Rattus norvegicus: one gene and its partner. The protein of the gene in region 1 interacts with the protein of each later gene in a pairwise test. Links are inferred from orthologs where the notes say so. Each region holds a gene or a part of one and is shown on either strand. Other genes may lie near its edges.

Region 1 (4,463 bases):
AACACTTTTTCCTCTTTTAGCAGATGGCAAGCACGATCCTAAGAATAAAAATGGGCAATAATGTAAATATTCCTAATATCACACAACTATACAGTAAATGCTAATTTAAGATGGTAATTCTACGCCATGTGTATTTTACCAAACACACACCAAAAACTATTTTAAGAACATAAACTTTATAATAGCTCTAGCTATCACAGCACAGTATCGGAGAATTCAGACATGAACAAAAAAGTTGTGGTATGTAAATATGGCAGGATACCATGCTGAGACTAAATGAAACATGGCCACAATAAGGATGAGTCTCACAGGGCTGGAGAGATGGCTCAGAAGTTAAGAGCCCTGACTGCTCTTCCTGAGGTCCTGAGTTCAAATCCCAGCAACCACATGGTGGCTCACAACCATATGCAATGGGATCTGATGCCCTCTTCTGGGGTGTCTGAAGACAGCTATAGTGTGTTTATATATAATAAAATAAAATAAATCTTTAAAAAAAAAGTGCTTTAAACTGCTAGGCCATTTCTCTAGCCCCAAATATTGTAGGTTTTTTTTTTTTATAAATCACGTCATGTATGAAATGATATATATATCATACTTAGAAGAGAAGTGATTAAGTTAGATAGAAAGGTCCAGATGCAATAGTTTATAATCTAATAAGCTGGTATTCAAGTATATCTCTAAAAAGGCGAAGGAAGGAAGGAAGGAAGGAAGGAAGGAAGGAAGGAAGAAAGAAAGGAGGACAGAAAGGAGGATCAAAGGTCTTTAAAAATATATAGGGCCAGTGGTAGCACACAGCCTTTAATTACAGCAGACACAAAGGCAGGTAGGTCACTGTGTGTTTAGGCCAGTCACAGATCATAGCCAGACCCTGTCTCAAAAACCAAAAAATGAACAGAACTACATAATCACTTCCTCAACTACACTAGCCTTTACACCACTCCCTCCATCCCTGCGGTCTGGCTCCCCAGCCTTTCTCTGCCATGTTTTCAGTCTCTGTGTCCTTGGCCTCCTGGGGGCCTCCAGCACTCTGATTGCCCTTGGCTCCCATGACTCCTGGCTATGCAGAGAGTCATCTACTTCAGACTTCTTCCCTCCTCCTCTGGCTCCCTTGCCTGAGCACATGCCTTCAAAGGGGAGTGCCACAGTGCTACAATGAACTTTCTGTCTCACTTTCACATCCGTGTTCCTACGCTTAAACTACTGAGGCTCTCATGACTTCCATGGCTGCCTTTTGATATGGCTCCTACATTTTAGTTTCTATCAACCAGCTGTAAAATCAATTGCATCCTACTCTTGGTACAGCATCGTCTAACCTCTCAAGTCTTCTTTGTCCCATCTGTAGGGAACATATTTTACCTGGTAACATTAGTCGACTGCATTCTGAGGCCTCGGTCACTGGAAGGAGGGATAAGCAAGTAATGTCTTTAGCTTCTGATTCTACTAGCCCTTGTCCCAGGGGGATGGAGGTATTCTGAACAAACTGAACCAGGAGCTGAGGAGGGGAAAACAGCAAAACTGAGAATCAGAATGAATCTCAACTTTAAATTTATCAAACAAGTGATAATATAATTAAGTCTTATTCCTGTCTCAGTCATATACATAGAAAAACTAGATTAACTACATTTATCAAGGTGTTTGCTCTACACAATAGTTGATTTATAAAATTAAACTGATCTGTCATTTTCTATCATAGAAAAATTATAAAAGTGGGTTTTAAAATGATGAGCCCCCTTGGTTTTAAGTCAACTGCACTGTACTGATTACATTAGAGAGCACTTTCCTGGGTATTTTTTCACTTATTCCTAAATTCCTAAGTAAACACGTATTTACAAATGACGAATCATCCTGAAACACAGACTTGTCTAAGATGATATAATTAAAGTTCCAGTCTTCAAAATTAAGAAATGATTTCAAATTTAGTGACTTTTCTAGTAAACACAAACTTATTAAGATTAAAGTATGAAAAATGATAGAAATTATAAAATGCTTAAATCATATTTAGAAAAATTATTTTCAGATACATATTAACAAGATTCGTGTAAATAAATATATACATACATAAATATTACAACTATGAATATAAATATACTTTAGAAATAGAACCTATCTTATCATGTTTAAGTACTTTAAGTATTTCCTTAAATACTTAAATAGCAGATATAGAAAACTCACGAAGATGGAAACTGAATAATAAAGTCTCTAAGAAAGCATTTAGTAACAGAAGACTCATAAACTAAGCACTGAAGTAAATCTCATTTGGCTTTGGAAGTCAAGAATGCTTACGATTAAGCCACTCACGTTGTTTCCTGACCAACGGTCTAAGAAGACACAGCTAAGTGGGCTCACCTCTGGTTTGGATTCTAACTCATCTGATAACATTGATTCAGCTTCTGAAATCCTGTAGCTGTTCGGGGGGACAGGGTCACATCTAATTCAGCCAATGACACCTTCCTGTTACATTCACATCCCTTTAAAAAACAGAACACTTCCTGTAAGACGCTGAACTAGGTTGGTAATCAATTTAACCTAAAATAAGGGTAAAAAAAGAGAAAGACACAACATTAAGAGCAGTCAGCAAATGCAGCTAAATCAACAAAGGCATCCCTTTATGTCCAAAAGCCATAAGCAGACACTCAGCCTATAACATGTGTTTTAAAGCAGAACAAGCCCAAAAAGTATCAAAACCTATAAAAAGCAATATGCTTTGATAACTATCTTCAATTTTTAAATCTTTATTTTTATTTCATGCACGTGTAACTAACTCCCTGTGTGTCCAAGTGTCCAGAGTCCAACAGAGGGAATCAGATTCTCCTGGAGCTCCATGGAGTTCCAGGTGGTTCTAAGCTGCCCTGTGTGGATGCTAAGGGCCAAACTCTGTTTCTCTGCAAGAACAGCAAGTGCTCCTAACCACTGAGCCTTATCTCCAGTCCACACAAAAGTTCCTCCTTCTAATGAAGCCCTGACTGCCTGAAATTCACATACAGACCAAGCTGGCCTCCACTGTCAATGATTTTCCCATCCCTTCCTGAGCACTGGGAGGGATTACAGATATACGTGGCTATGAAAGGGTCTTAAAATATGGAAAAGCTATATTCCCAAAGATGCTCATTGAAAATATAAGACAAAGAACTGGAAGCAACACACACAATAATCTTTTAGAACACTTAAACACATACGTACTATATAGGGCTTGACTCTTGACTATTAAATATGGCATTGTCACTTCGAAACACAGTTATGACTAGGGATGCGGTTTAGTGGTAGAACATTTGCCCAGCATGTGCAAATCCCTGGGTTTGATTCATAAGACACACACACACACACACACACACACACACACACACACACACGCACACACACACACTGAAGACCATGCAATAAAACATCGGTTACAAACCTATTTCCCATTTTAACAGTAATTACATCGTAAGAAAAAAGTAAAAAGAAATTCACAGATAAAACAGCAGTTTTATTGTTTAACAGGAAAGTGTGACTTACTCTTTTTTCTTATTCTAAAAGGTAATTATGCCATTCTGATCATTTAAAAGATAAGTCTAGCAGGGGCTTGGTGGTGCAAAGCTACAACCTCAGCACTCGGGGAGTGGGCTCTACAGCAAAGTCAAGGTCTGTCTGGGCTATTGTGATCTCAGAAAGACAAAAACAATCAAGTTTACAATAGTACTCAAGTCTAGCTGTGTAACTCAAGGCAAAGCACTTGCATAGCATAGCACAATGTTCGAGTGTAATCGCCAGTATTGAAGACAAACAAGCCAACACACGGGGTGGGGTGGGGTGGGGTGGGGTGGGGGCAATGGGACTGTTTGCACACAGATGCAATGGATTCATCTGCATTCTTCCTCCCTCCCACCCTTCCTTTTTCCCGGGTCCCTACTGGACACTGAACCTAAGGTCTGTCTATCCACGCTGAGCACAGACCTTGCTAGTTCCCTAACCCGAATCTCCTGGATAACTCCCTGCCTCCATGGACTTTGGCACATGAATTCACTTAATTTGGTGGAACTGCTGGTAAAATTGGGAGTCTGAGATCCATAAAGTGAAGACAGGAAAAAGGTGTGGTGGCAGGCATCTGCAAGCTCAGCAGTGGGAAGACTGAAGCAGAACAGGGAGGTTTGCAGCTAGCATGAACCACACTGCAAGATCATCTCTGGAAATAAAAAGGAAGCAATGTGTTCAGAGCACAGTGGCTCATCAAGTGTCCTCCGTAGACCTCATCTGTAGCACAGAACTTGCTAAGCACACCAGCCAGCAATATAATGGACGTGCACAAGCTAGGTTTGCCAATTCCAGGTCCATTACCTAGCTAACCGGATTCAAAAGCTGAAATGAAAATTTTGTTCTTGCAACGCAAATCTTTTATAAAAAAATTAGTATTTTTTGGAGACAGACACGGTGGCACACACTTCAATTCCAGCACTCTAGAAATATAGGTAAGCATATTGCTA
Region 2 (5,030 bases), on another chromosome or scaffold:
ACAGATGACTCACCTCTCCAGCTTCACAGACTAGCTCCTTGGTTTGTTCGTTTGTTTGCTTGTTTGTTTTTCAAGACAGGGTTTCTTCATGGAGCCCTGGGGACAGACCTTAGCTTGTCACTCAGCAGCACCAGTGCCTTTAACCACAGCCCAGCTGAGGAGTGCCATCTCCTCAGCCCAACATTCTACTGTTTGTGTTTGTGCTTGCTTGTCTGTTTATGTACTATGTGTATCAGGTGCCTGAGAAAGCCAGCATAGGGTGTTGGATCTCCTAAAACTATAGTCACAGGCAGTTGTGAGCCGCCATGTGGGTGCCGAACTGAACCTGAACCAGGAACTGAGCCAGGTCCTGTGCACTCTTAGCCACTGAGCCACCTCTCCAGCCCCTGATATCCTAACCTTAGTAAATCATCCGGCCATTTTATTTCATTTTATTTTTTCAGTGCTGCAATTGAGCTCCGGTGCTTAACATGCTGGGATGTTAGGCGAGAACTCTTTCACTAAACTGTACCTCTCCAGCCGTGTTTTAAGACTAGCTGAAGGCCCACTGTGGAGCTCAGGCGTTTAATCCCAGTTCTCATGAGGCAGAGGTTTGTGAATCTCTGAGTTAGAAGCCAGCCTGGTCTATAGATCGAGTTACAGAACAGCCATGGCTGTTATCCAGAAAAACCCTGTCACACGAAACGAAAACCCCAAACTAAAACATACAAAAACATACATATACACAAAAACTAAACTAAAAGCAAACTAACCACCCAACAACCAAACAACCAAAAAGACTATTAGGCGTGGCATAAGCCTGTGGTTCCAGTCACTTGAGAGGCTGTTCTGTTTTCCAGGCTAACTTGGGCAACTTAGTGAAACTGTCACAAAAACTAAAGTAACGAAAGTTCGTCGTTTTCTTTCTTTCTTTTTTAAAGACAGGATCTCACTCTGAAGTCCAGGCTGGCTTCAAACTCAAAGCAATCCCCCTGCTTTAAGTCTTTCCATGCTGGTGTTATGGGTGTGAACAACCACGCCCCGCAGGAAATTATTTTCAGGGACTTAAACTGCTGCCCAAAGTCACACAGCTACTCCGGAACTGATGCCCAGGACGTGACCCTGGTGTCATTCCGTCCCCACCTTACTCCCATCTTTAATAGTAGCAGAATCCAGCTGTCCCACTGTAGATTGAGTCCGGTATCGTAAATCCTACTGAGAAAACTGTTAATTTTGTAACTCTCAAGAGGCAGGTCCTCTTCCAGAAGTCATACAGTATTCTAAAATCACCATGAAGTGACAGGCCTGTACTTTAAAAAGGCCCAAACCCCTACCTGTCACCGCCCCACAAGGGAAATCGCTACCAGAGTTTGTCCCTTCGCTCAGGCAGTCCTCCTGGGCATGCGCTTTAGAGACAGGCTCCCCCCTCCTTCTGGAACGTCCCCGATCAGGCTCCGCCCACCACCACCAACGAGAGCGGATCCCGGAGCTGGAGGGCGGGGCTGCCACGCGAGTGGGCGGGAACTAGGGATTGTCGAGTGTCTGGAGTCGTGCGCCCGAATCAGAACTGCGCCTGCCGTCCCAGGTGTCGGTTGCTGGAGCCCAGCGAGCTAGCGATGCTACGGCAGCCGCTTCCTGATTGGCTGCGTGTGGCTCCCTCTTCGTTCTGATTGGTCGGGAGTGATCTGGGTATGTAAATGAAGGGGCCTGGTAGGGAAAGACGAGGGTACGGGCGACCGGGATATTTAGCGTGTTCGATACCTCAGTTAGGTAGATGTTCGCCAGAGCTGTTCGAGATCGAGGGCCAGGGCCTGTATGTGTCGCCCGGCCCGGCCGGGCTGGGTGAATCACGTCGGAGCCCGAGAAGGGGGCGGAGGCGCCGGCTCCCTGGCTCCGGCTGCGTGACTCATCCGCCCCCGCCGCCGCCGCTTCGGGAGGAGCCGCCTCCACTGCCTTCCGGAAGCGAGGGGAGGCCGGGCTAGCTGAGCGACCCGCGGGGGTCGCGGCTTGCTATACCCGGGAGAGACAGGCAGGACCCCGGAGAATCTAAAGGATCCCGGGGTCAGAGGGGCCGGAGTCCCGGGGGACCCAGGTCGGAGTACCGCTAGGGGGCGCCGGGACTCGAGGGGCGGAGTCGGGGTGGGGGCTGAATTCCTGCGGTTCCCGGCTCCCGGGTCTTCAGCGAAAAGGGCAAAGACTCGGTTTTTACTGTCTTGCCAGATCTAGGCTAGTGTCCCCGGGACTGAGACCCTGCAGTCTTTATGCCCCCGTTAGATAGGGCTAGGGGTTCCAAACTCTAGACCTCTCACCTTGGAAGAAAGTACGGATTTTCAAACTTCTGTCAATGACTTAACTCCTGCGGCCCTTCAGGGTTTCCCTTGTCGGTTCTTTTTCCTCAATAAGTTCGGGATCCACCGCTTCCTTGAATGATTGCTAACATCTTAGGGTTTACATTCAAGCGGTCAGCACCCCAACAAGTGCTGCAGCCTCGGAAGGCAGGCAATTTGGGCCCACTTCTATCCCCAAACCTTCATACACACACACACCCGATGCTGCCCCACCACCAATCTTGCCCTAGGCAACAGCTACCCGGGATCCTCTAGAGACATTGCCAACTAATGTCACCACTCATCTTCCTGCCTCGACCCTACCCTCCATGACTCTGTCCTGACACTCTGAAAATCCAAGCCTCCTCCTACTCCTGCTCGCGCCTCCTTCTGCCTGCTCCCCACCCCCACCGGGACTCCTACTGTGTCACTCTGCGCCTGCTCCTAGTGTGTGGTTTGTTTTTTTTTTTTTTTTTTTTCCTTCCCAGTTCAGGTTTACCTCTCTCAGTCTTCCTTTGGCCCTCTCAGGAAAACCTGGCCCAGGTTCTCCATAGCCTACACAGCATACATCAGGGTTCATCTTCAATGTATCTTTCTTAGAAAGACCTGCCTTGACTACCTCCAAGATGGCATCTTCCTACCAGTTTCTGTACATTTGATTATTTAATGGCCCATGCATATAGCAGATACTCTGTGTGTTGATGACTGCATTTGCAATCAAGGAGTGGCACACACACTATCCTAACCCTTGTGAGACGGAGACAGGAGGATTGCCTGGAATGGCTGGCCAGCCTGGACTACAGTTGTGAGGCTCTGTCTCAAAAGAATAAAACCCAAAAGTGCTTATAAATAAGTACTAATTATGTGGGCTTAGAGCTTGCTATTCCTACAAAGGACCTGAGTTCAGTTCCCAGTTCCCACATCAGATGGCTTGCAATTACTTTAAAACCAGTTCCAGGGACTCCTGGCAGCTGACCTCTTTGGGCATCTGCACTTTCATGCACACACACAAACACAAAATTTAAAATAAAAGTAAAATTTCAAGTACTAATGACTACGTTTTTGTTCTTTGAATCTAATCTGTGTTAGCAACTTCTAGCATAGATGCTATCTGTATCTTAGGAGTTCACCGAGGGGGCTGAGGATATAGCTCAGTTGGTAGAATGTTTGTTTTACATGCAAGAAGCCCAGAGTTCCATCCCTAGCATCAAATATACCAAGGATGGTGGCACACACCTTTAATTCCAGCACTGGAGAGATGGAGAAGGGAAAAGCAGACGTTGGCTTACCTGGCAAGTTCAAAGCCAGCCTGAGTTCCATGAGACCCTATCTCATTAGAAATAAATATGCTTAGGAAACCTAGCCCTCGGAGGTCAATTGACTGGTCAGGATCACACTGACAGCAGTTGTGAGAGCTGCGTATTGGCTTTCCATAACCGAATGACTCCTTCCTCCCTGCAGAGGATGCTGAGCAAAGGTCTGAAGCGCAAGCGGGAGGAGGAAGAAACAATGGAGTCCCTCTCAGTGGACTCGTGGTGGTTGGATCAAAGCCGCCCAGCAGTGGCACAGACCCCAGCAACCGTGGCTTCTAGCTCTCTCTTTGACCTCTCGGTGGTCAAGCTCCACCACAGCCTTCGGCAGAGCGAACCAGACCTCCGACACCTGGTGCTTGTGGTGAACACACTGAGACGAATTCAGGCGTCCATGGAGCCTACGACCGTCCTGCCACCTGAGCCCATTCAGCCCACAGCCCCCTCTGTGGCAGATAACTTTCTGTCTAGCTCAGACGCCGGCCTCTCAGCCTCCATGGCCAGCCTCCTGGAAGATCTCAGTCATATTGAGGACCTGAACCAGGTCCCCCAACCCCAAGCAGACGAGGGGCCTCCAGGCCGCTCTGTCGGGGGTGTCCTGCCCAACCTGGGTGCCTTGGACTTGCTAGGCCCAGCCACGGGCTGTCTGTTGGACGATGGACTGGAGGGTTTGTTTGAGGACATTGATACCTCCATGTATGACAGTGAACTTTGGTTACCAGCCTCTGAGGGTCTCAAACCTGTCCCTGAGAATGGCCCAGCCAAGGAGGAAACTCCAGAGTTGGATGAGGCTGAGCTGGACTACCTCATGGATGTACTAGTAGGCACACAGGCACTGGAACGGCCACCAGGACCTGGGCGCTGACCCTTAGACCCAGGGATGATTGACTTGGATCTGAGTTGAGCCTGGTGGTTACACCAATCCACTTTGACGTGACACAGATGGCTTCCCCTCACAGAGGAGACCCAGGGTCACTTTGGAGAGACAGTGCTGAGTCCTGGAAACTTCACATCCATCCACCTGTCTTGGCCAGTGAGGGAGTTAGAAATAAGCTCCCAGTGGTGAAATGACGGGACCCAGAGACAGCAATGGTGTTTGGGCTAGGCTGGGGGTTGGACTGGGATAATAGTCTGGGCTATCCCATCCTATTATCCCCAGTGTGGGAAGAGACCTCATAATTTTTGGAAATTAAAACCAGCTTTGGGAAATACCAAGTCTGTGTGCTTCTTTACATCTGTGCCGATCAGGGATGAAATAACATCAAACTTGTAATCCCGTGACATTCCCACGGTTATAGTAGAATAAAACGCACTCCCGGTATATATCTTTGAGCAAAGGGCAGGAGCTTTCAAGAGGTCTCCCAAAATAAAACCACTAAGTTTAGTGGAGAGAAAACAGGACCTTAAGGGCCAG

What was found.
Region 2: the proteins of Zfp410 (region 1) and Sertad1 interact in binary tests that used the Homo sapiens proteins (3 or more experiments, as listed by UniProt). The two-hybrid records come from large-scale screens. The link is inferred for Rattus norvegicus from reciprocal best matches to the Homo sapiens genes ZNF410 and SERTAD1.

Annotation. Positions count from the first base shown.
Region 1 is NC_086024.1:109,697,725-109,702,187, reverse strand, and holds part of Zfp410 (zinc finger protein 410), read right to left. Parts: intron 2,527-4,463; 5' UTR 2,380-2,526; coding exon 2,347-2,379; intron 1,493-2,346; coding exon 1,357-1,492; intron 1-1,356. UniProt on the Homo sapiens protein: Transcription factor that binds to the sequence motif 5'-CATCCCATAATA-3', and is specifically required to silence expression of fetal hemoglobin in adult erythroid cells.
Region 2 is NC_086019.1:91,901,741-91,906,770, forward strand, and holds Sertad1 (SERTA domain-containing protein 1), read left to right. Parts: upstream 1-1,556; 5' UTR 1,557-1,668; intron 1,669-3,767; 5' UTR 3,768-3,770; coding exon 3,771-4,481; 3' UTR 4,482-4,825; downstream 4,826-5,030. UniProt on the Homo sapiens protein: Acts at E2F-responsive promoters as coregulator to integrate signals provided by PHD- and/or bromodomain-containing transcription factors. Stimulates E2F1/TFDP1 transcriptional activity.